Mytilus edulis: one gene and its partners. The protein of the gene in region 3 purifies or fractionates together with the protein of the main gene of each other region. This does not show direct contact. Links are inferred from orthologs where the notes say so. Each region holds a gene or a part of one and is shown on either strand. Other genes may lie near its edges.

Region 1 (7,826 bases), on a different chromosome or scaffold from region 3:
GATTGGATTATTCCCCTTTGTTATTGGTTGGAAAAAATGGCTGCAAAGAGTTTATTTCATCACACAAGTCCCAAATTTCCTTAAAATAGCTATCATATTCATGATTGTGAACATTGGGATGTATCAGGCAATTAATTTATATTATTGGCAACACTAACTTCACTTTTGACACGAGTTCAGTTTTTTTTTATGACTGAAATAAAATGTCTTAGGGTCGGCACTCAAAAGTAGGGTCGGTCGGGTAACCGTAAACAGACATATATATTTTTTTGGCCTTAACAATTCATTGTGCCATTTGTGGCTAAATTTGTAATCCTTATGTTTTTATTGCTAACAGTTTTTTACTTACCCTTCTACGACACAATTCTAGTAGAATATAAACATGATCAGAATCCTCAAAGAAGGAATGGAACTTTACAATGTACTTGTGTGATATACTTCTGTGGATGTTGATTTCTTGTGTCATCTGAAAAATATAAGTTTTATAAATAATTATGTACAGCATACATATGAATTCTGTTTTATAAAATCATTTTTTCTTTTGAATTTAGCATTTTATTTATCTTTATGTAAGAAACTAACCTGAATAGTTAGACTTTCCTTGCAATTGATCCCTCTCACTCGCAAGGGCCTGATCACAATGCAAGTGAACTCTTGATACAAATGCAAAACACTTCAATTATTTCTATTGGCTTTTTTATAATTGAGTAAATAAACATAATTATATAAAGTACCTTGTCCTTCTGATGTTGTTTAACCAGCAGTGATTTGGGAACAACCTTCCCAGCAAATAGTTCTTTTGTTTCCACATCTGTCAACTCGTAGCATTTAGCAAATCCTCCCTGTAAATAAGGTACAAAACATTTAAATTTACAGTGTCTTCCACTTCATGTTTTGCAGTGTCTGTAAAAAGGGGAAAACTATAATTCAGGACCTATAATTCCTTGGTGCTGTCTGCTATATTTGTTTTTAGCATAAATGATATCAAGATGTTTGTTTAATACTAAGAATTTGTTTCACATTTATTGATTAAGTTTACTGTTATATATGAAACTTTAAAAGCTTTATTTATACTATATTGTATCATACCCCCCCCCCCCCCCTTTTTCATGATTTAAGGCAGTTGTGCGCCCTTTAGTTGTTTACATCCTTTGGACTCTGATGAAAAATTGTCTCATTGGCAATAATACAACTTGATAGTACAGTGTACAGCAGTTAGTCCGTTTTTTTTTTTATCTTCATAGCCACATTTTTGGGAATTAATTAAATCTTCAGTAAGAAAGCTAAGTAAGGCCGTTAGTTTTCTCGTTTGAATTGTTTTACATTGTCTTATTGGGGTCTTTTATAGCTGACTATGCGGTATGGGCTTTGCTCATTGTTGAAGGCCGTACAGTGACCTATAGTTGTTAATGTCTGTGTCATTTTGGTCTTTTGTGGATAGTTGTCTTATTGGCAATCATACAACATCTTCTTTTTTATATATAGCACTAAATATATATCTAATTATAAGTTACAAATATATAAAAAAAAAAACTTATCAGCATGTTAGGAAAAAAATACTATTAAAAATAATAGTAAACTTTTTTTTTGCAGAGCAGAACTGTACTTCACCATACAATGTATGTACAAGGGGTGAAGACAACACAATTTCTTAATAGTTACAAGAAACACATATTTTATTTTGGTCTATAGAAGTACAGTGAATCAAAAACTAACCATTGATCTGAATAGACATTTAATTAATTGCAGACAAATCTTGTTTAGTTAATCATGTTAATCTGATTTGTAAAAAACAAGCTCTTAATGGATTAATTTCATTTAAATATCTAATCCATATTTTACCCATAGAACTATAAATCTTTATTTTTGCACTGGATATATATATCTTAAATCATTATGAGGGTGGCTGTTTTTAGCACAGACATATAATATTTATACAAAATGTAGTGCACTGCAAGCATAATTTATTGATGGCAAGCTAAACACAGGTTTAATGTACATAATGTTACTTTTCAAATTTTGTATATTGCTATTTTGGAAATCTGTGCGCAACAAGTTCACTGAAAACTTGACACACTGGAATTATGAAGTCATACAACAATCAAATTTCCTTAGTGATGCCAATATTTTCTATGTCTATAATGATATGATTACTACAAAATTTTACAAGACTATTTAGATGTCCAGTCATTGCCAACAAAAATGCCTTCTCCTCACAAATTTAATACTGTGTATTACCAACAGTCACCTTAATGATTTGTCTAAATTAATTAAATGCTTCCTTTTATCACATATTTCTGTGAACCAATAATAATTCAGCCATGGTGTCTTGGGGCCAAATAATGATTAACCTTAATGTTCGTACCATGACAGCAAATATCTGATATCTAATTTATTTTTATATCCCTAAAATTTGATACCCAAAACATCTTGAACACCTTCATTATTATCTGGAGTGGAGATCAGTTTTTTCACTGTAAATTTCCCGATTTTGCAGTGTATTCCAAACTCTGTCTAACTGACAAAATGTCAGACAAAAATTCATTCGGTCAGACAGACATCCTCAAATTTTTTAGGTGAATATATAGTGGAAAAACTTCAAATTTCTTTTTCAGTCAAACAAAACCTAAAAGTTTGGCAGACTGTTTTGCCTTTTGGATATGGTTTAGGATGTTCCCCCAATCCTCAACCTCCTTACATTCAAATTCTACTAGGTTAAAGATGTGATTGATATCCGATACACCTTATGGATATTTTCCACCATTACTGGATTGCACAAATTATAATGACCATGCCATGATACAAAAAAATCTGAAGCCACAATGGAAAAGCGATTGTTGTATGAGGTCAAAAGTTCAATGGGACAGAATCTCGGGTCAACCAGGACAGATTTCCAAATATGTGTATTAATTTTTTTTTAGCATAAAGAAATCAGCTGTATGTTAACAATGTTAAACATATAAAATTCTGGATCTTTGCCAAAATCTCAGCTTAGAAAATTATACAAAGAAAGGTAAAATAATTATCAGGTTTGTTTCCTTATATTGAAATCACGCGAAACATTTTTAAAATTGACTTTTCATAGATGAATAATTTTGAAATTTGTGTATTTTTTATTTGTTATACTATCATAACACAAATCTTAGACATGTCATAACTTGCATAATCAATAAAATAATAAGGTAAAGGTATCAAATTACTTTTAAAAATGTATATATTGAGTAAACTCTTTTATTGAAATTCTAATATGTAAGTAAAAGGCATAGAATTTTTTATTTAGATTCAAATGTGTTACCTTTCCGAGAAATCTTCCTTTCAAATATCGTTTCCCTGAGCTTGGATCCACAACCATGTCAGGAATTATATCTTTTTTCATCTCTTCTCTTCTCGCGCTAGACATTTTGATATTTCTATTTGGATGCGTAGGTCAGGTAAAAGAAAAAAGCATGAGAGATTATTTCACCGCAGTAGTATTTTAAAAAGAGTTGTCTCTATTTTTCAAAAATATCGTAGTCTCCATTCAACTTCACAGACGAATTTCAAATTTGAGTACTTCGGAAGGTATTCAAATCAACAATAATTTGATTGGTCAGATCTTAAAACCGCACTTTTGATTGGTCAATTGGCTCCGCCAGGTGGACATGTTGTTTCTTGTCACCTTTTGGAATACCTCGGATATTTTCCATGCAATACACAGACGACTATTCATACTATTTAATTGGTTGAATAGTATTGAAGTAGACCAATCAAAATTCTGATATCTAAAAATAATACCGGAAGTTGAAGATTGCAATACACAAAAATGTCAATGCTTGCAGAACCTCGAAGAAAACAAAAGCTATCTATTGACCCAAGAGGTTCAAACTGGAGTAAAGGTATTGGGGGTTTACAGAAGAATTGTCTATATATGTCACTCTTTCATTACCACATTGTCAAAATAAAGAGAAGTACGGGAAGCAAAATAAAAATGAACTGTTATTTACCACGTGTTCCTGAAGTTGAACTAAAGTTATGATGACTTATTTTGTATACTGTACATTTGTATCTCTTGTTACTGTCATTTTGTATGCTGGACAGTATTCTGTTTGGGCACGAATTGATTGTATATATATCATGATCTGAATAAACTATAATATAATCATAGTTTGCATTCAAATTTAACCCAAAGTACACTAACAAACATGTGCCAATAACACACATAGGCACCCCAGTAGTTGTAAAGTCAGTTGATATTTGGTTCTTAAACAGTCATGTGACAACACGTAGTTATCTTCTTAATTAGTTTTATGGTTGATAGAACATGTGTCAATAGTACAACTGTCAGTAATAAGGTAATTAAATTGGTGTGTACACTACGTTTTTCATTAATTATTTTAAAGGTATTTGAAAAGGTGTCCAACTGTACACATTGCTGTATTCAGCTGTTTTTATTTAAATTAAAATTCTTTATTAACTTTGACCCTTACCATACTTACGGCAGTGATGGCTTTTCAATACTTTAAATTAACTGACATAAGTCTTAATGTTCATCTATTTATTTTGTTAACATCCTTGCTTATTGCTTTCATGTAATCTGTTAAAGAAAAAAAGTTTTTATAATATAAAATATGTTAACAAATAATTTATTTCAAATAAGATGAACAACATTGTCCATCACAATAAAATTCTTCTAGTAGTTGGAGTATGCAATATACATGTAACTTACAGGCTAATTTTATGAGATATTTTATTTAGTCTTAGTTCGTTATGAGCTGAGTTAATACGTGATCCTCCAATTGGTGCTTTTTTGTGGAAATTTTATGTCTCTTAAAGTAAATTTCTTTCTGTCTGTCTCAAGGCCTGTTGCGAGTTTCCCATCAAATGACCCCAGTTCAACTGGAGCAGTTGATGAATTTTGAATCAAATTTGAAACCAGTTTAACTAAAAACTGAACAGGATTTTACTGTGTGTATTTTACTGTTCCTTCAAAGTAGTTTCAAGTTGGAATTCCCATAAAATAATGAATTAAATGGAATGTTTTGATTGACATGCACAATTGAGTGGCAATAGAAATATTCACCATAGTAATAGGGAATTTAAACTGTTTAACTGGGTAGACTTTCTTAAATGCAATGCATATCTGTCCTCTTGAGAGTAGATTTTGTGGTATAAACATATTTGTCTACTATAGCTAGGGGATGTTTTATGACCTTGACTTCACATGAGGGTAACATTTGTCAATCCTTTTGATGAACCATAATCAAGATACACTCAAATTGCATCTGCAGTGATATTGTTGGCTTTTTTCATAACTACCTCTACCCTTTTTTATTGGGAAGATATGCATCATTTGTATCAAATTGGGAAATTTGTAATAAACCATGAATTTGACTGGAACTTCAATTTGCAGATCCCCTTTTAAGAGGTAAACCCTCATTTGAAATAAAAGCCCTTATTGTCAGTGATGATACATAAATAGACCCTGAAATCTGTACATATAGTAATTTTAAGGCATGAAAAATGTTTAAATGAGTGTTTTTCAGTTTGTATTCATGCACAATTACTACTTGACTGCACTGTTTGGGAAAAAAATTGTCTTTTTGGGAATAATTTTAAGCCATTTTATTTTCAAATTGGGATTCTTCTCCAGGGGAAAAAGCCTTTATTCTCCAGTAATTTAAGAAAAACAATATCACTGATCTGGAAAATGAGGAATTTGATTTTAGATTTCAAAAATCACAATTAACATAAAACTTTTTGAAATATTTCAGATGAATCTAAATTTGGACAGAAAATGTTGGAGAAGTTTGGATGGTCTAAAGGAAAGGGACTTGGGGCAAACGAAGATGGGCTAACAGATCATGTAAAAGTATCTCTGAAAAATGACAATCATGGTTAGTATTTATTCTGTCTGTTAGTTATATGATATGAACTGAAAGATGAAAATCTTTGATGTTCTGTATTATTTAGCTAAAATAGACACCAAGAACTGTACCATTTTACAACAAGGCAAACTTGGGCACAATAAACAAAGAAGTAAATAACTTAAATAATATAATATAAGAAAATCTAAAAACATATTTTGTTGATGAACCTTGGCAAGAATTAAAAACAAAACTTAACCAACTAGTCCCCGAGTCTATTGAACACCCAGAGATGAAAAAAACATATAAACATATATATAAGCAACTCAAACGTCAAGTACAAAAACAACTTAGACATTCATACTGCCAGTACACTGAACATATAGTTACACCAAAACCTGCGGAAAAATACTTTTCTAACAAGAAAAAACTTGGTCTGCAAAGTACATAATTACAAATACCTTAAATTGGGTTATTTTGGTTGTAGTTTTATTTTGGCTTTTTTGGTGCCTCCAATGAAATTGCCAAAATTAAACACACGAAAATAAATCAAAAACTAAAAATTGACGCTCGAATCAAAATTTTTTAAAAAGGCCAAATAAAGTACGAAGTTTAAAACATTTAGAACCAAAATTCCTAAAAAAATTGCCAAATACAGTTAAGGTAATCTATTCCTGAGGTAGAAAAGCCTTTGATTTCAAAAATTCAGTTTAGTTAACAGTTAATTTATAATTATGAACATATCAATGATAACTCAAGTCAACACAGATATCTATTTATATATATTAATTTGATATCTATTGCAATGTTTATTTTTAAGGTCTTGGATGTTCTAAAAGTCAAGTAGATAACTGGATAGCACATCAGGACGACTTCAATGCTCTCCTAGCTAACCTTAATCAATCTAATACACAGATTGATACTGAAAAGGTATCCAGTCTTGAAAACAGATCAAAAACATCTAAAAGTCGTGTACAGTAAGTTTGTTTGTTCATAAGCTAAGAAATAATTTTATAATCTTGCTTGTTTAAAGATATTGTCTATTTCTATTTATTAGACATCATAAGTTTGTTTCTTGTCTTTACAATCTTGATTTTTATGAATCATCATTTGTTTGATTATAATACACCTACAGCTTGTAACATTGTTCAGAAAATCTATTACATTTCATAAAGTAATTTCTCAACACGAACCATATACATGATTGAATTTACAACTTCATTAGTACCAGATGTAATGTGTACATATGAAAAACTAATTTGTAATATTTACATTTGTATTTATAACAACTTTGTAGATACATGTAACTGGCAAACATACTAAAATGTGTACAATTTTCCATTAGTAAATGATATCATGCTCTCTACTTTTTCAGTGATTTATCTTAAAATATTTCAGTTACCAGAAGTTTACAAAAGGTAAAGACCTTTCTGCAAAATCCAGTCAAGACCTTGATTGTATATTTGGTAGACGTACAACAAAAACAGAGGATACCGTAGTCTCGGTTAGAATCAATTTCCAAATTCTACATAAATTGAAATGTTTAAATAAGAAAACTATCTAGATCTCAGAATGAATGAAATGTACATAAAGAGAGGTTTTATATGCCACAAACAATATTAGGGGGGGGGGGGGGGGGGCATTATAATTTCTGGTCTATCTTTCTGTCCCTTACTAAGTGTTTGGTCAAGGTAGTTTACCATGAAGTTGTACTCGCATCAACTTAGTTTATTACACTTGTTCATTATAATGTGAACTTTCTGTATTTTTCAAAATGGGCTCGGTGTTCTATGGACAGATATTAATTATTTTAACTCACAATAAATCAATGCACAATAAAGTATGACATCTAAGATATTACAGTAAAATGGCTCTAAATCAATCAATGTGAGTCAACATTTGAAGATTATCTTTGATATTGAATGCAGTACAAGAAAATGTAGAAAGATGAACAGAATTAATTACTGCAGATAAATTGATCAT
Region 2 (7,876 bases), on a different chromosome or scaffold from region 3:
CTTTGACAAAACTTAATGCAAAGGAACAGCCAATTTATCGCTGTTCTTCATTTGAAAGTAGCAATTAGGTTTATAAGATGGAGCAATAAGTCATGCATCATCAAATGAAATAAATCTTACAAGACTGACACAGACTAAGACTATTTCTTGTACAGAAATCTTTCTACACGGTATAATTTATTTTGAATCGTGATAAAATTAATCAGATTCCAGTCCCCTTAAACCAAAACTCTATACATTATACCACTCACTGTCACATAAAGAGATCACATATAGCTAGCATTCCATTTCAAAATAAACAATGGTAAATCTATGGTGATAAAATAAAAATATTTATTGCCAAAAAAGGAGAAAACAAAAACAGGATATTTGATGATACAAAACAATAAGTTATGGATTTAAATTTACATGTGTAATGATTAATAACCCAAAAAAATCTTCAGGATGTTAAAAAAACATGATGTTCAACATATATTAAATAATTTTAACAAGTAAAATAATTTAACAGATTAATAATTTTTAAAGAATTTACCTGTTTAAAAACTGAGTAAGACGAACAATTTTTCTTACTTTTTACACAAAAATTATACAAATAAACATGTAAACACAATAAAATACACCATGTTCACTCTAAATACATTTGTATCTGTTTTTATGCCTGCAGCAATGTTGAAAATTAATTTCCTTCATTTACTTTCTATAGACAAAAATAAACAGGAGTAAATAATGTCAAGATGTCTAACATGAGATTGCTGGTATAAATCTATTTACCTTTAAAGTTTCTGACACAGTTGCTGGCCATAAACATTTTATTCTTTTATTTGCTATTTATTCAGAAACAGCAGTCAAAAGGAAAAAATAAACGGCAACCATATTTGTACAATATAAATCTCAAAGATAATTCAATGTATTGCTTTTAGTTCAGTTTACATCTCATACATTTATTGAGGATATCTTTTTTTATTTCCTGTTCCTAAATACTTAAACGATACATTCCACTAACCTATGCTGGGCTACTTCTTTAATAATCACGCCTACGATATTTCAGATAAAGAGGAAGTTAAAAATTTTGATTCAACAAAAGTAACATTTAAGGACCATATCTTTCTGTTATCAATATCTCATCATATTTTATACAATGGAATATCAAAGAAACTTCAATATAAATATATATACATTAAAAATTAAATACACGAAAGAGTTTTAAAAGCAGCATTGTCTAGCGCTTTCATCAATCTTGGGACTTTTCAAGACTATGAATGTCGCTATGGGGAACACAAGCTTAATGCTTAGTAGTTACATGAACAATAACATCGTGTCATACTACTTTATATGTTATGAACAATGACGTTACGTCATAATACTAATGTGTTCCCCATAACAACGTTCATAGTCTTGAAAAGTCCCAAGATTGATGAAAGCGCTAGACAATGCTGCTTTTAAAACTCTTTTTGTGTATTTAATTTTTAATATATCATTCTGTACACCGCTTGAAAAGAAACGTTTTTTGAATATATATATATACATATACTATACAGAAAAGCCTAATATACATGTAAAGGACATTCAATGATTCATGGAACTAGTCAGAGATTGCTCTGAAGTCTTACAGCCTCTTTATAGGACTTGCTGGGGCCGTGGGACAATGGCCCGAGAGAGTCCCGAAAAGGTAGTCAGACATCAGAGCAGTCTCAGAATACCATTACCATGACTAACTCAGGACCAAAAAAACAGACCTTATCAGAGAAGAGGACTTTGAGGTAAAAAATGCAAAGTCTACAGCAGGACATGAAAAGGTTGGATTAACAAGACAGGTCACATACCCTTATTGAAAAAGATATTTGCACCCCAAAAAACAATTGAACATCAGAATCTTTAAACAAAGATGACAATGTGATTAAGTTATTGTTTTTGAAAGGCTGATACCAGTATTCAATTCTATCAAAAATAATGAAACACATTGTATTTGATGTAGGCACTTGTAAAACTGCAGTAATTTTTTTTCTTCTTTTTATGGACACCAAATACATTTGCACGCCCTTTCTCTAGTGATAATTTCTGTAGTAAAATTTTGTTAACTGGTTCTCCTACAATATATTCTTTTTTCCTTTTCTTTTAAATTATGGCTTGTTTAATTATATAACATGTATAATACTACTGAAATTTTCTCTATATTTTATTTTCAATCTCAACAAGAACCAACTACAGTGTTCATATCTTCAGGTTCACACAACAGGTAAAATTGAAATTATTTTTGGTCTTATATCAATTTCCTTTTAGAACCCTGGACAAAATGCTAGAGAATAACCAGAAGCCTAGCTCTAGCTCCTACTTGAACTACATTTTAAGACTGACGTAATCAAGACTGAGTTTAAATAAAAGCTTTCAATTGAATTTATATATTCCAGGCTGTTAAAACTTGAAACTAATTTCAAAACTGAAGACTGAGTACCAGTTTAATAAAACAGTTCCCTGTTCTAGTAGAGATTTTCCTCATTTCCATAGTTTTGATCTAGTTTAAACAAAAGACTACTTACAAAACATGTTTGGATTAATTTTAATTTAACTGCATTGAACAGTGCATTTTACCTTTCAAATTATATAATTTATTCAAAAAGTGATGTGACTTTGTATTTGATATGATTGTCTATAGCTACCTATCGGGATAAGATACATGACAGAACCTGTTATTGACTTTATATCAACAAAAAAAATCTTTATTCACCTTTTAACCACATAAGGAACTAAAATTATACAATAGAGTGTATACTTCATGTCATACAATCAGCTCACTATATCTTTTCCAGAAAAACACACACAAGTCACAATGTCCTTTTAAATGGAATCTTCTTATCATTTGTTAAGTTATCTATCTTATAGGTTACTATAACGTTTATTTTATGTCAATTTAACTTTTAACAAAAATCAAATCGTCTCACAGCACAAAAGAAATATACATGTTATAGCAGAGCTTTTATATATCACAGATCCTACCAATATAGTGTTTTAAAAGGCATCAATGAGTAGTTTACGTAATCTGTTATTACAGTAACTTGAATGCAATTCTATGAAATTATAACCCTTTTTTGTTCTGTAAAGATAAGAAGAAATGTTATAATTACAAATGAGACAACTCTTCATCAGAGACCAAAAGACGTAGAAGACAACAAGTACACATTAACAACTATCATGACTATAGGTAACCATGTGGATTTCAACAATAAGCATAACAATGCCGCATAGCAAGCTATAAAAGATGCAGAAATGACAAATATAAAACAATTTATATGAGAAAACTAACGGCTTGAATTTTTGTACGAAACAATCATAGAAAAACAAGTATAACAGACAGCCACAAATGAAGGCTCCTAACTTTGGACAGGCACATACATGACATAAAGAATGTGGGAGGGTAAAACAAAAGTTTGCAGGTGCCTAACCCTCCCCTCCCTCTTACCTAATGGCGACTTATGCCTTTCTTCAATCTGCATGATTATTATTGCGTAACTTTACCTATCAACTTCCTAATCATCTTCCTTCCTACATTCAATCTATTTTAAGCTTATAGTCCTAAATATAACTTTTTGGGCCTTTCCAATTTTTGTATATATGGTATTTAAAGTACATTAATTATCTTATTTCAGTGTTTCGTCAATAAGGTATTGCAAAATGTTTGTTCTTCCTTTGAAGGCTGTTTTTTACATGTAAAATGAGTCTTCGTCCTCTTTTTTGTGTCTTTTAAACTTTGGGAATAAATTAGTTTCTTATAATTAACAATAGTTTAACTTATTCATCTATCAAAAACTCAGTCATTGTCAGTAGAGAAAAATAAAAGTTAAATAAATTGAGAATGTGTCCACAAGACACAGATGATGCCCCAACATGCATAATACATTATAAAGGTAACTAACTTGAGAACTGTAGAAGTGACGCCACCCAAATTTGAACTTGATCTGTGTCTATGCAAATATGTGTTGTGTATTCTTTTAATATCATTTGGTTGAAGTAAATCAAAGTTAGCTAAAGGACAGAAACATTTGGGAATGGGGCTTAAGGTGGTACCTAACACTACAGGGAGATAACTCTGTAAAATCAGCTAAACGTTTTAATTACGTTGTGTTGTTAAGGGAATATTAAGCTTCTCAATGATCAAAATAAGTGTTTGTCAAACTGCTATATAACCAGTGTAATTTTTCTGACAAAACGGTTTGTTCAAATTTTTTGAAATTTTTATATTTTTGTAAAAGGGTCAAAGTAAATACTTTGTCAAAATTTTGAGAAAATTAAATGACCCAAATTAATTTTAGCTAAAGTGTTGGGTACCACCTTAAACAAACCAACAAGGAGAACATTTAAAAAAAAGCTTTGGTATGCATGTTTTAGTGTTTAGATTAAAAATGCATTTTTTTTAAAATGCAAAATGCATATTAAAAACACATGATTGAAATGAAGCTGCTAGAGGCACTCCTCAAAATTCTCCAGAAGCATACTTGTATATATATATATTCTTTATAGTCAAACTTGGTACAGGCACAAAAAAAAAGGTGCGTTTTAACAATTTTACATGCTCACAAATTTCCCTTTTGCCTTTTTCAGGTTACTGAATGCTGTAAAAGTAAAACACAAAATAAACAAGAATAAACCTTAATAGGACACAATTCCAAACTAGCACTATCACATTTTCATGTTCAATGAACAGCAAACCCGGGTATTACCCTTTTTATTTTGGCTTACAATTGTTTTTTAAATTTATATCATAATGAACAGGTGTACTGGGTTTAAAGTATATATATGATCACAATTTCACGGTAAAATACCTTAATCTGATGTAGGACTGAAATTTTGTCTTCATGTGTAATCCTCATTTAGTGTTACCAAAAAAATAGCTTTTTCTGATATCCAAGCATAATTTAAACATTTTGAATGGTGTGATATTTTGTCTCCTGTTTAAAATATTGTGCATCTAAATACATTTTGACACAAGGAATTAAATTGAGATATTATCACCAATGTACATTGATGGGTCATTTAACATTAAAAAAAAAATAAAATGAAATGACAAATTTAAATAAGCAGCTGCGTCGTGAGGGCCTGTCAAATTTTCAAAGAATATAGTTCAATTACTTCTCAATGCCAAATTAGAAATTTGTGAAAATCACAAGGGAGCTTACTTTAATAGAGATAAACAATTCACCAAAGGTTCATGAGAATTGCTGAAAGTATTTGTAAGTTATTATCATCCGAAAACTGAAAAATTCCCCCTTTTTTATGAATAAAACCCCATTACTCAGAAATGTAAAATCTAAAATTTATAAAATTCTTAAGGGGGCTTACATCAATAGATATTTAAACAATTCACAAAAGTTTCATGAGAACTGCTAAAGTATTTTTGACTAATTGTCTGATAACTGGAAAATTCATCTTTTTTGCAAACAACATGTACAAAACCCTGTAACTTAAAAAATCTAAAATCAAAAAAATCAAAAGGGAGCTCATGTTATGATATTAACAACTTGACAAAATTTTTTGCAAGTTGGTGAAATCATTCTTCAGTTATTATCAGAAACTTGAAATTTCCCCCTTTTTTAATGAATAAAACCTCATAACTTGGAAACATAATTCTAACATTTATAAAAAAAAAAAAGAAATTGAGCTCACGTAAGTATACTAATCTTTGCAACAGCTCATAGTTTACCAATCATGCAAAGTACACCTATGTTATAACAGAAAATATATTCCTGCAATAACATAAGGGTGTTATTACAGTTTCTCTATATCTCTTTAGAGGCTTTGCTCAGACTTGCATAACAATGTATTTCAATTCATTGTAAGAAATGTCAACACATTTTGTGTCAATAGATATAAACAATTCACCAAAGTAAGCAAAGTTTTATGCAAATTTATTAAAGTCTTTTGGAGTTAATGTCCAACATGTTGATAGTGGACGGACGGACAGACAACAAATGGTACCATAATACGTCCTGTAAACAGGCATATAAAAATGTAAGTAACTATATTTTTTTTCTAAGAATTCACAACTTGTTTTGATAACCACATTTATTTCACATGTAAAATTATGGGTATTATTTCAACGGGAAATCTATATACATGTACATGTAAGTCATGGCAACCAATCATGTAATAAAGTGCATGGTTTTCAAGATTTTAAAACTAATTCTGTAAACAAGCATTATAAAAGCCTATGCATAAATAGTGATTTGTTGAACATTTAAACATGTAAATTCATGGTAAAGATAACTGTTAGTACACATGTTACAGTTACCCACACATAAGTTAGAACTGAAAAAGTAAATGAAATCACATGCAGTAAAAATAATCAGTGTTTGTGTTAACCCAAATAGAAGATGCTACAGTCTACAGCCTTTGTGCCCTTAGACTTCTGCCCCCCCCCCCCCCCCCCTCAAATGCCCTTGTGCTGTTTTGGCAATGTTACTATAAACATTGCCATATCGGGTGATATCGCGTGTAATATTTCTTGTCAGAAATTAAATTATATTCAAGACACCTGATGATTGCCCTGAGGTTTATAATGTTGTAAGAATCAATTAAGGTAGATAAGACTTCTAAGGTACAGGTAATTAACTATTGTCTACATGTAAAAATTGATTCTTAATTTGATGAATGTGGCAACATGTGTTTGGTCATGAGGTCAGTGTGCCAGAATCAATGTTCAATTTTGCTTTTGAGCAATTGAGTATGCTGTTGAATAATGCCCTAAAAAAATAATTTGAAGAAATTTTCTTATTATTTCTAAAATCTGAAATGAGAGAAAAAGTGTAACCCCCCACAAATTCTTATTTACCCCCCCCCCCTTTTTCCAATTTGTTTTCACCTCCCCTTCCCCTTACTCCAAAAATAATCTCAATTTAAATTTCTAATGGAGTTTGCAACAATACATGTAAGTACTCATTAAAATATTAAAATACAAGAGGCTGTCACAACGACAGCAAACCGGATTTATTAACATTTATTTGTGTCCTGGCAATATCACAAGAACCATTACTGATGAATGATGAAAGTGAAAATCATCAATATCAAATTTGACCTCCATTTTGTCATCAGTATCAACATGTTAAAATTTGAAAAGCTTAGATTGAATGGTTTATGAGTAAATGTAACAACGTGAATGGAAACGCCATTTTACGATCTTTCAAGAACCATAACTCCTGAACGGTAAAAGTCAAAATCGTCATTATTGTACTTGACCTCTATTTTGTCATCAGTAACAACATATGAAAATTTCAAAAGTTTTGGTTGAATGGTTCATGAGAAAATGCACGGACACGACTGGAAACACCATTTTTCAATCTTTCAAGAACCATAACTCCTGAACGGTAAAAGTCAAAATCGTCATAATTGAACTTGACCTCTATTTTGTCATCAGTAACAACATATAAAAATTTCAAAAGCTTTGGTTGAATGGTTCATGAGAAAATGCATGGATATGACTGGAAACACCATTTTTCAATCTTTCAAGAACCATAACTCCTAAACGGTAAAAGTCAAAATCGTCATAATTGAACTTGACCTCCATTTTGTCATCAGTAACAACATATTAAAATTTGGGAAGTTTTGGAAGAACAGTTCATGTGTAAATGCACGGACATGACTGGAAACTCCATTTTTCAATCTTTCAAGAACCATAACTCCTGAACGGTAAAAGTCAAAATCGCCATTATTGAACTTGACCTTCATTTAGTTGTCAGTAACAACATATTAAAATTTTAAAAGCTTTGGCCGGTTAATAAAATGATATACATGTCAGTTATGCATTTTGTCATGGTTTAAGTAAATATCAATTAAAAGTAACTTCTATTTTATTTGTACAGCTAATCATTTTAAGACAATTATCAAC
Region 3 (8,524 bases):
TTACATACAAAAAATATTTTTAACAACATCAAATAGTACCCATAAAAATATCTAACAACCTTAAATCAAAGGATAGTGAAGAGAGACTTTTAAAGTGTGTGATCACCTTACATTGTGCAGCAGAGGTCCAAGAACTAAAGCACTGTCCACACATCTGCCAGTGATAACAATATCGGCACCAAGGTCCAGAGCTCTAGCTATTGGTCCAGCTCTTCAAAAACAGAAAAGGTAATTTATATATTAGTAAACATGTAAGAGGCACAGTTCTAACTTTTGCTTTTTAAAATAAGCAGATGTGGTATAATTGCCAATGAGAAACTATACAACACATCCCAAATGATGTAGATGTTAGAATCTAAAGATCAGTCTACAGTCTTCAACAATGAGCAAAACATGGTAATTCCTAACAATATGATAGGTTTTGCCTCTTAGCCTTAATTTCATCTTGAGATAACATCATTAATAAGACTATGGTGATAACATACCTAAACCACAACTTTAATGTTCAGGGAACCAGTAAATATGGGTCAAAATGCTAATTTGACACAGATATTACTCAGTTCACTCCATAATCAACTTGCATACTAAGTGTCAAGATGATGTGAACACAAACTATAATTCATTAACAGAGAAAAGATCACTGGCAATGACAAATGAAACATAGCTGTGGACCTCTGAGAGAGTGAGACAGTCACTAAATTCATAATCAGGGACTTTTTCTTGGTGTATGTTTAACCTTGATAAAAGGTCGTCCTAGTATAAAATGGTGATTCTTGGTGAAATGAATGTTTGATTGGTGAGTAGTAAAGAAGATAAAATAATTTCTGAAAACTATGGATTTCAGCCATGTCTGTCATGTTTTTCTTTTATTTGTGTTTTAAGCAGAAATCAGGTTGTTTATTTCTCTTTTAAAAATTGTTTCACATTTTGTAATGCAGACCCTTTATTCCATAGTTAAAAATATGGATTTTGCTCATTGATTAAGGCTGTAATGTGACAGCGAGTGACCCTTTATTAGATAAATCCTTTGGTATCTGATGGAAAGTTGTCTCATTGGCAATCATTTATAACACTCCTCCTTCGTTCCCTTTATTAGATAAATCCTTTGGTCTTTGATGGAAAGTTGTCTCATTGGCAATCATTTATAACACTCCTCCTTCGTTCCCTTTATTAGATAAATCCTTTGGTCTTTGATGGAAAGTTGTCTCATTGGCAATCATTTATAACACTCCTCCTTCGTTCCCTTTGTTAGATAAATCCTTTGGTCTCTGATGGAAAGTTGTCTCATTGGCAATCATTTATAACACTCCTCCTTCGTTGTCCTCATTTTCATATTTAGAGAAAAAACATTACCCTTAACTGTAATGTATTTCACCAACTTACCCTAAATATGCATTCATACTGTGTACAGTTTTAGGGAATTGATCACCTGAATCCATATCAGTGATTGAACTGTTGATCAATTCTTTGCTCTGAAATAAGCAATAAATACTAAACAAAGGAAAAATGAAAAATCATACTAAATAATTCACTGTATTAAAACTTTTAAAATTGGTGGTCAATCAATATATAAAGCCTTGTTTCTTATGTTAATATATCAGCAGAATTTTTATAACATTATCAATATTTGTCACAAATTTTCACATAACATATTCTCTCCTAAATGGTTATTATACATAGGGGAAAATTCTACATTAGCCTTTAATTTTAAGTTGATCTTGTCGTCATTATGAACAGTATTAAAAAAGTTCTTCCTAAATTCTAAGGCCTACTTTCTAATGAATATTTTTTTGTATCCCTAGCAACATATTTTATACAACTATCATTTAATTGTGTCTGTTTTATACCTTAGGCATTAGGTCATCACCAGTAACAACAGCAATATTCATCTCGACACCAACTGAAGCACATATCTGTTTTAATGCATCAGCACAGGCCTGTGGATTTACACCACCAGCATTACTTATCACTTTTATACCTATGATATATATGAAGAATGTATACTGTCAAAATTCATTAAAGATATCAGGCTGTTATTAAACAACCAAATACATAGGGACTCATCAGTGTTGCTCCAATCAAACAATTGCAAGTCCAAATCAATTACTTAATTTATAAGTAAACCATTTAATTCTTTAGGCAGGTTGTATTTTTGCCAATTTGAGGGAGAGTCTGAAAGCAAAAGTAAACTGTTACCACAGAGATAAGTCTCACCTTTTTGTTACTTTGATTGTAAAATGCAAATGTTAAAATTAAAATAGCAATACTGTAACGTGTAAGTTATGCAAAAAAAGTCAAAGTCAATGAACCATGGCTAAATGTACAGGGTCCAAAAAATCTTATTGGCAATGAAATGACAGTCAATCTTTATTTGATATATATATAAAACAATACCTTTAGACTTGATATCTTTGATGAATGGTGCCATACAAATCTGTACAAAATCAGGTGCATACCCTAGATTCTACAATTAAATACATTAATACTGAATTACTTTATAGATTTGTGAAATATGCTGTTTATGTAATAATGTTGGTGATCAAAATGAAAAATACAACATATTTAACTGTCAATCTGCTACACAATATTGAAGCCATCACTGTATTTCTTTGGGAAAAAATAAATTATTAATTGGTGGGTTTTCAATGAAATATTAAGGTTGTACCTAACATCTTCACTTAGATTAATTTTGCTTGTTTAAATTTCATAAAATTTTGACAAGATATTAACTTTGACCCTTTGACAAAAATATAAAAATTTCAAAAAAATTGAACCAACTATTTTATCAGAAAAATTACACTGGTTATACAGCAGTTTCACTGATCATTGAGAAGCTCAATATTTACTTAACAACACCACATAATGAAAACGTTTAGCTTATTTTACAGAGTTATCTCCCTGTAGTGTTAGGTACCACCTTAAGTGAAGTCAATGTTATCATTCCATTACAAAAACATTCAATGTCATTAAAAATTTCTTTGCATTTGTGTGGGATGGCTGGTTTCATTACAATCATTTTGAAGATAACATATAGCCATCTTCATGACTTCAATCAACTCCATTATTCAATTATTCAGTATCTTTCAATCTATGATCTTAAAGTGACATGTAAATAAAATCTACTTACGGGATACTTATGTTTAGCTGAAATTAACAGCGACATTGTGATCTCTGACAGGTAATCAAACACCAGGTAATCTAACTTTGTACCATAGATCAATTGAGGAGCTAAAAAATACAACATAACATGTAAATTTAAAATTATAGAAAGTGTACCATAGATTAATTGAGGAGCTAAAAAATATAACATAAATTATAGAAAGTTTAACTTTGTACCATAGATCAATTGAGGAGCTAAAAAATACAACATAAATTATAGAAAGTCTAACTTTGTACCATAGATCAATTGAGGAGCTAAAAAATATAAAATTATTTATAGAAAGTATAACTTTGTACCATAGATCAATCGAGGAACTAAAATATATAACATAAAATTAAAATTATAGAAAGTCATATTTGTACCAAATAGATCAATTGAGGAGCTAAAAAATATAAAACTACTTATAGAAAGTCTAACTTTGTACCTTAGTATAGATCAATTGAGGAGCTAAAAAGTATTATTAACTATTAAAGAAAGTCTAACTTTGTACCATAGATAAATTGAGGAGCTAATAAACATAAATTAATCTTATAAAATAATAAATGAATCAACAAAATTTAACCAAACAGAGATTACAGATAATGTTTTATTCTCAAGCAAAATAGGATGTCAATACAAGCACATTTTTTAAATGGCTTCAAAAGAGAGGTGAAAGATACCATGAGTCTAAATTTAAAATGTCCTGGCAAAAAAAGAAAAACAAGAGCAAACAGCATACAAAACACTTAAGACTGTCAGAGAAACAAAACCAAAGATTGGTAGAAGGAATAAAAACAATTAAAAAATTTCTACATGAAAAACAAATATAACGGTAAGACAAAAAAAAGCACTGAATTAAGGGTACTCAAAGTTGCTGAAATGTAGTTCAAAGCCAACTTAGTCTTCAACTAGAGCAGTAAATAAAAAATATATTACCAGACTTAAGTATTAATCAGTACACATCCAATGGATTTAGTGTACAAATTCATAAACTCTAAGAAACACATCACCATACTACCAATACCATAGATGTAATACCCATTATTACATTTATGCTAATGTAACCTGAGAGCACAAATTTCATTACAAAATTGCCTCCACAGGGACTCAAACCCGGGACCTCTGTGTTACAAGGCAGCACGCTAACCGACTGAGCTAAAGAAGTACTTCCTTAGCTCAACCGCTTACGGCTGACTACAATGTAAGTAACTACTAAGTTTTTCTAAGGGCAGCAATCCTGTTACACTTCCCCCACCTCAAGAGTCATTATACTCTATAATGATGATATTTTCATCTTTTTTATATTTATATTTTAACCGTGGGTTATTATTGTTGGGCGCCAATGTAACCGGAGAGCACGAATTTCATTACAAAATTGCTTGTCTCCACCGGGACTCGAACCCGGGACCTCTGTGTTACAAGGCAGCGCGCTAACCGACTGAGCTAAAGAAGTACTTCCATAGCTCAACCGCTTACGGCTGACTAAGTATCTACTAAGTTTTTCTAAGGGAAGCAATCCTGTCACACTAATACTAATAGCAAATAATTATTTTGACCCAACATGTTATTGAATTAAAAATCTTGAAATTTCAATCTTGTTAGATTTATCTTTAACAATATTTCTATATTGTCTTGCTGTTTGCTAGGGAGGGGGAATCATTAATTAAAATTAAGTTTAAAAGTAATACTTGGGGCGATTTTATGGGACGAATTGACCTAATACAAACTTTGAACTCTTACCAGCCACAGCTGTATCCCCCCAAAAACCGCAGGCACATCCTATTCTGACTGTTTTGCCCTGCAGTATTTGGGAGGAAAATCTTAAGTGTGTTACTCGTATTTTTTGTGGTGCAATAAACTTCGAAATGGCACCCGAAATTCTCCTGAGGTGCCTGAACCCAGTCATGTTTGTTTTTGTATTGGCCCCCAAACCGGAAGTGGCTCATTCTTTCGCCAACGCATGCTCTGTACATCACATGATTAATTTATACATCAACTTGTCAATATGGACGACAGCTCAGACGTCAAAACAGAATTATTTCCTTTTGATCAAATCCCATACGTATAAACAAAATGTAGCTATATTTAGCAAACTCAATTATATATTTTATAGCTGATTGAAAATTTGAAAGATGGCTGAGATAGCCGAAACGGTGTATGGAACTAACGAGGAGGGCCATGTCATGTCAGAAAAGGTTTCAGCACTTGCCACGAATGTTTACAAAGAATTTGAAAGGATGATTAAAAAGTACGACGAAGATGTAGTCAAAGAGTTAATGCCATTAACTGTAGGTCTTTTAGAAGGTTTGGACCAGGCGCTGCAAGATAAACAAGAATCAGATGTAGAATTGGAACTCTTGAGAGATGATAATGAGCAGTTGTTGACACAGTATGAAAGGGAAAAACAGCTGCGAAAAGTAGCAGATCAGGTATTCACAAGAGACATCTTTTGCTTTAATGCGGAGTATAATAACAACCGATGCATGAGCACAAATAAATTAATCAGAAACCTTTAATCTCTACGACTTTGAATCCTCAAAACCCTCAATACTCATATCACACCTCAACCCCTGCTTTTATAGTTTATAGTTCAAATAATTATGATGTCTTGCAACATGTTTAACCCTGCCACATTATTTATGTATATGCCTGTCCCAAGTCAGGAGCCTGTAATTCAGTGGTTTTCGTTTGTTTATGTGTGACATATTTGTTTTTCGATCATTTTTTTACATAAATAAGGCCGTTAGTTTTCTTGTTTGAATTGTTTTACATTGTCTTATCGGTGCCTTTTATAGCTGACTATGCGGTATGGGCTTTGCTCATTGTTGAAGGCCGTACAGTGACCTATAGTTGTTAATGTCTGTGTCATTTTGGTCTTTTGTGGATAGTTGTCTCATTGGCAATCATACCACATCTTCTTTTTTATATTGCAAGATAAATTGTTTGGACTACCGCTGCATGTGTACGCTAAATTGATGCATTTCAGTTACAAAATAAGTTTGGCCACAGGCTGATTCAGTCACATTACCAATTTGACCATATTGATTATTCAATATGCAGACTGCAGTCACATTTTTTCATAATGGTCATACTGTAAACTATATTAAGTATATTTTACTAAATATTGTTTTGTAAACATGGTAAATGAATAAATATCATTGATCGAAAAAAGTGATTTTGTCATTTGATATTGACTACATTTTTTTTTTTTGGTGCATCTATAGTTGTGGAAGATAAGTACTTCTGTAACTAATTAATTTGGCCTCACAATTAATACTCTTATAATTTCTGGTAATCATGGTAATGAAAACACAATTTCCCTGGAGTTTAATTTGGTGCCTTATTTACATGACATTATTTTTGATTAAACAGAACAGTTTTGCATTGGTTTTATCACATACTGCCTTAGTGGTCCTGGCAACAAAATATACTTGCAGGCTTTATTTATGATATCTTTGTCAGATATATAGATTCAGTGCCATAATCATGATAATAGATTATGTGAATCAAAAGATTTCCGAACTCTGTGATTGAAGATAAGATTCATTGGATTGACGTAAATACTTTATAATTTTTCTTTTTCCATTTGAAGTCAAGTTACTTTTTTCTTTCATAATAATTTAACCTTAAATTTCACTCTACATAATAACATGCAAAATTGTAATTCCTAAGGGCCCCTTCTATAACCAAATGTCTTTGACTTTAATTTAAAATCTGGGTTTTCCCAATATAATTCCTCTGGTTAGGCAATTCTGATAATTTTGCATGTCTGTCAGAATGATTTCTCTTTTATCCTGCATTTTCAAGGGATCTGTCTTATATCCCATAAAGGTACATCCAGAAAAGATGCTTGTTACCAAAAGTTCTCTATTTTCTAAATTACATGAATTACTTGCATTTCTAGTCTTGATATCTTAAAAGTACATTTTTATACGACCGCAAATTTTGAAAAAATTTTCGTCGTATATTGCTATCACGTTGGCGTCGTCGTCGTCGTCGTCGTCGTCGTCCGGCGTCCGAATACTTTTAGTTTTCGCACTCTAACTTTAGTAAAAGTGAATGGAAATCTATGAAATTTTAACACAAGGTTTATGACCACAAAAGGAAGGTTGGTATTGATTTTGGGAGTTTTGGTCCCAACATTTTAGGAATTAGGGGCCAAAAAGGGCCCAAATAAGCATTTTCTTGGTTTTCGCACTATAACTTTAGTTTAAGTTAATAGAAATCTATGAAATTTTGACACAAGGTTTATGACCACAAAAGAACGGTTGGGATTGATTTTGGGAGTTTTGGTCTCAACAGTTTAGGAATTAGGGGCCAAAAAAGGGCCCAAATAAGCATTATTCTTGGTTTTCGCACTATAACATTAGTTTAAGTAAATAGAAATCAATGAAATTTAAACACAATGTTAATGACTACAAAAGGAAGGTTGGTATTGATTTTGGGAGTTTAGGTCCCAACAGTTTAGGAATTAGGGGCCAAAAAGGGACCCAAATAAGCATTTTTCTTGGTTTTCGCACCATAACGTTAGTATAAGTAAATAGAAATCTATGAAATTTAAACACAAGGTTTATGACCATAAAAGAAAGGTTGGGTTTGATTTTGGGAGTTTTGGTCCCAACATAATAAGGGGCCCAAAGGGTCCAAAATTAAACTTTTGTTTGATTTCATCAAAATTGAATAATTGGGGTTCTTTGATATGCCGAATCTACCTGTCATGACTGTGTATGTAGATTCTTAACTTTTGGTCCCGTTTCAAATTGGTCTACATTAAGGTCCAAAGGGTCCAAAATTAAACTTAGTTTGATTTTGACAAAAAATGAATCAGTTAGGTTCTTTGATATGCTGAATCTAAAAATGTACTTAGATTCTTGATTATTGGCCCAGTTTTCAAGTTGGTCCAAATCGGGGTCCAAAATTAAACTTTGTTTGATTTCATCAAAAATTGAATAAATGGGGTTCTTTGATATACCAAATCTAACTGTGTATGTAGATTCTTCATTTTTGGTCCTGTTTTCAAATTGGTCTACACTAAAGTCCAAAGGGTCCAAAATTAAACTTAGTCTGATTTTAACAAAAATTGAAATCTTGAAGTTCTTTGATATGCTGAATTCAAAAATGTACTTAGATTTTTTATTATGGGCCCAGTTTTCAAGTTGATCCAAATCAGGATCTAAAATTATTATATTAAGTATTGTGCAATAGCAAGTCTTTTCAATTGCACAGTATTGCGCAATGGCAAGAAATATCTAATTGCACAATATTGTGAAATATCAAAAAAAAAATTAATTAGAGTTATCTTTCTTTGTCCAGAATAGTAAGCAAGAAATATCTAATTGCAAAATATTGTGCAATAGCAAGATTTTTTTTTAATTGGAGTTATCT

What was found. The genes of interacting proteins can lie anywhere in the genome.
Region 1: the proteins of C-Jun-amino-terminal kinase-interacting protein 4-like (region 3) and serine/threonine-protein kinase PLK1-like purify together in Homo sapiens (affinity purification with mass spectrometry; 7 studies listed by BioGRID and IntAct, counting the BioPlex papers as one, with this or other methods). This does not show direct contact. The link is inferred for Mytilus edulis from reciprocal best matches to the Homo sapiens genes SPAG9 and PLK1.
Region 2: the proteins of C-Jun-amino-terminal kinase-interacting protein 4-like (region 3) and nuclear factor NF-kappa-B p105 subunit-like purify together in Homo sapiens (affinity purification with mass spectrometry; 5 studies listed by BioGRID and IntAct, with this or other methods). This does not show direct contact. The link is inferred for Mytilus edulis from reciprocal best matches to the Homo sapiens genes SPAG9 and NFKB1.

Annotation. Positions count from the first base shown.
Region 1 is NC_092350.1:30,189,226-30,197,051, forward strand, and holds the start of serine/threonine-protein kinase PLK1-like, read right to left. Parts: upstream 3,579-7,826; 5' UTR 3,401-3,578; coding exon 3,296-3,400; intron 843-3,295; coding exon 735-842; intron 467-734; coding exon 350-466; intron 1-349. Other genes in the region: PIN2/TERF1-interacting telomerase inhibitor 1-like, read left to right, coding at 3,803-3,875, 5,751-5,873, 6,664-6,820, 7,242-7,347. UniProt on the Homo sapiens protein: Serine/threonine-protein kinase that performs several important functions throughout M phase of the cell cycle, including the regulation of centrosome maturation and spindle assembly, the removal of cohesins from chromosome arms, the inactivation of anaphase-promoting complex/cyclosome (APC/C) inhibitors, and the regulation of mitotic exit and cytokinesis.
Region 2 is NC_092352.1:47,167,077-47,174,952, forward strand, and holds the start of nuclear factor NF-kappa-B p105 subunit-like, read right to left. Parts: upstream 3,579-7,876; 5' UTR 3,533-3,578; coding exon of another isoform or gene 3,514-3,532; 5' UTR 3,492-3,513; coding exon 3,458-3,491; intron 1-3,457.
Region 3 is NC_092351.1:70,274,518-70,283,041, forward strand, and holds the start of C-Jun-amino-terminal kinase-interacting protein 4-like, read left to right. Parts: upstream 1-5,106; 5' UTR 5,107-5,271; coding exon 5,272-5,568; intron 5,569-8,524. Other genes in the region: uncharacterized protein, read right to left, coding at 112-211, 1,384-1,472, 1,848-1,978, 2,395-2,464, 3,128-3,228, 4,880-5,045. UniProt on the Homo sapiens protein: The JNK-interacting protein (JIP) group of scaffold proteins selectively mediates JNK signaling by aggregating specific components of the MAPK cascade to form a functional JNK signaling module.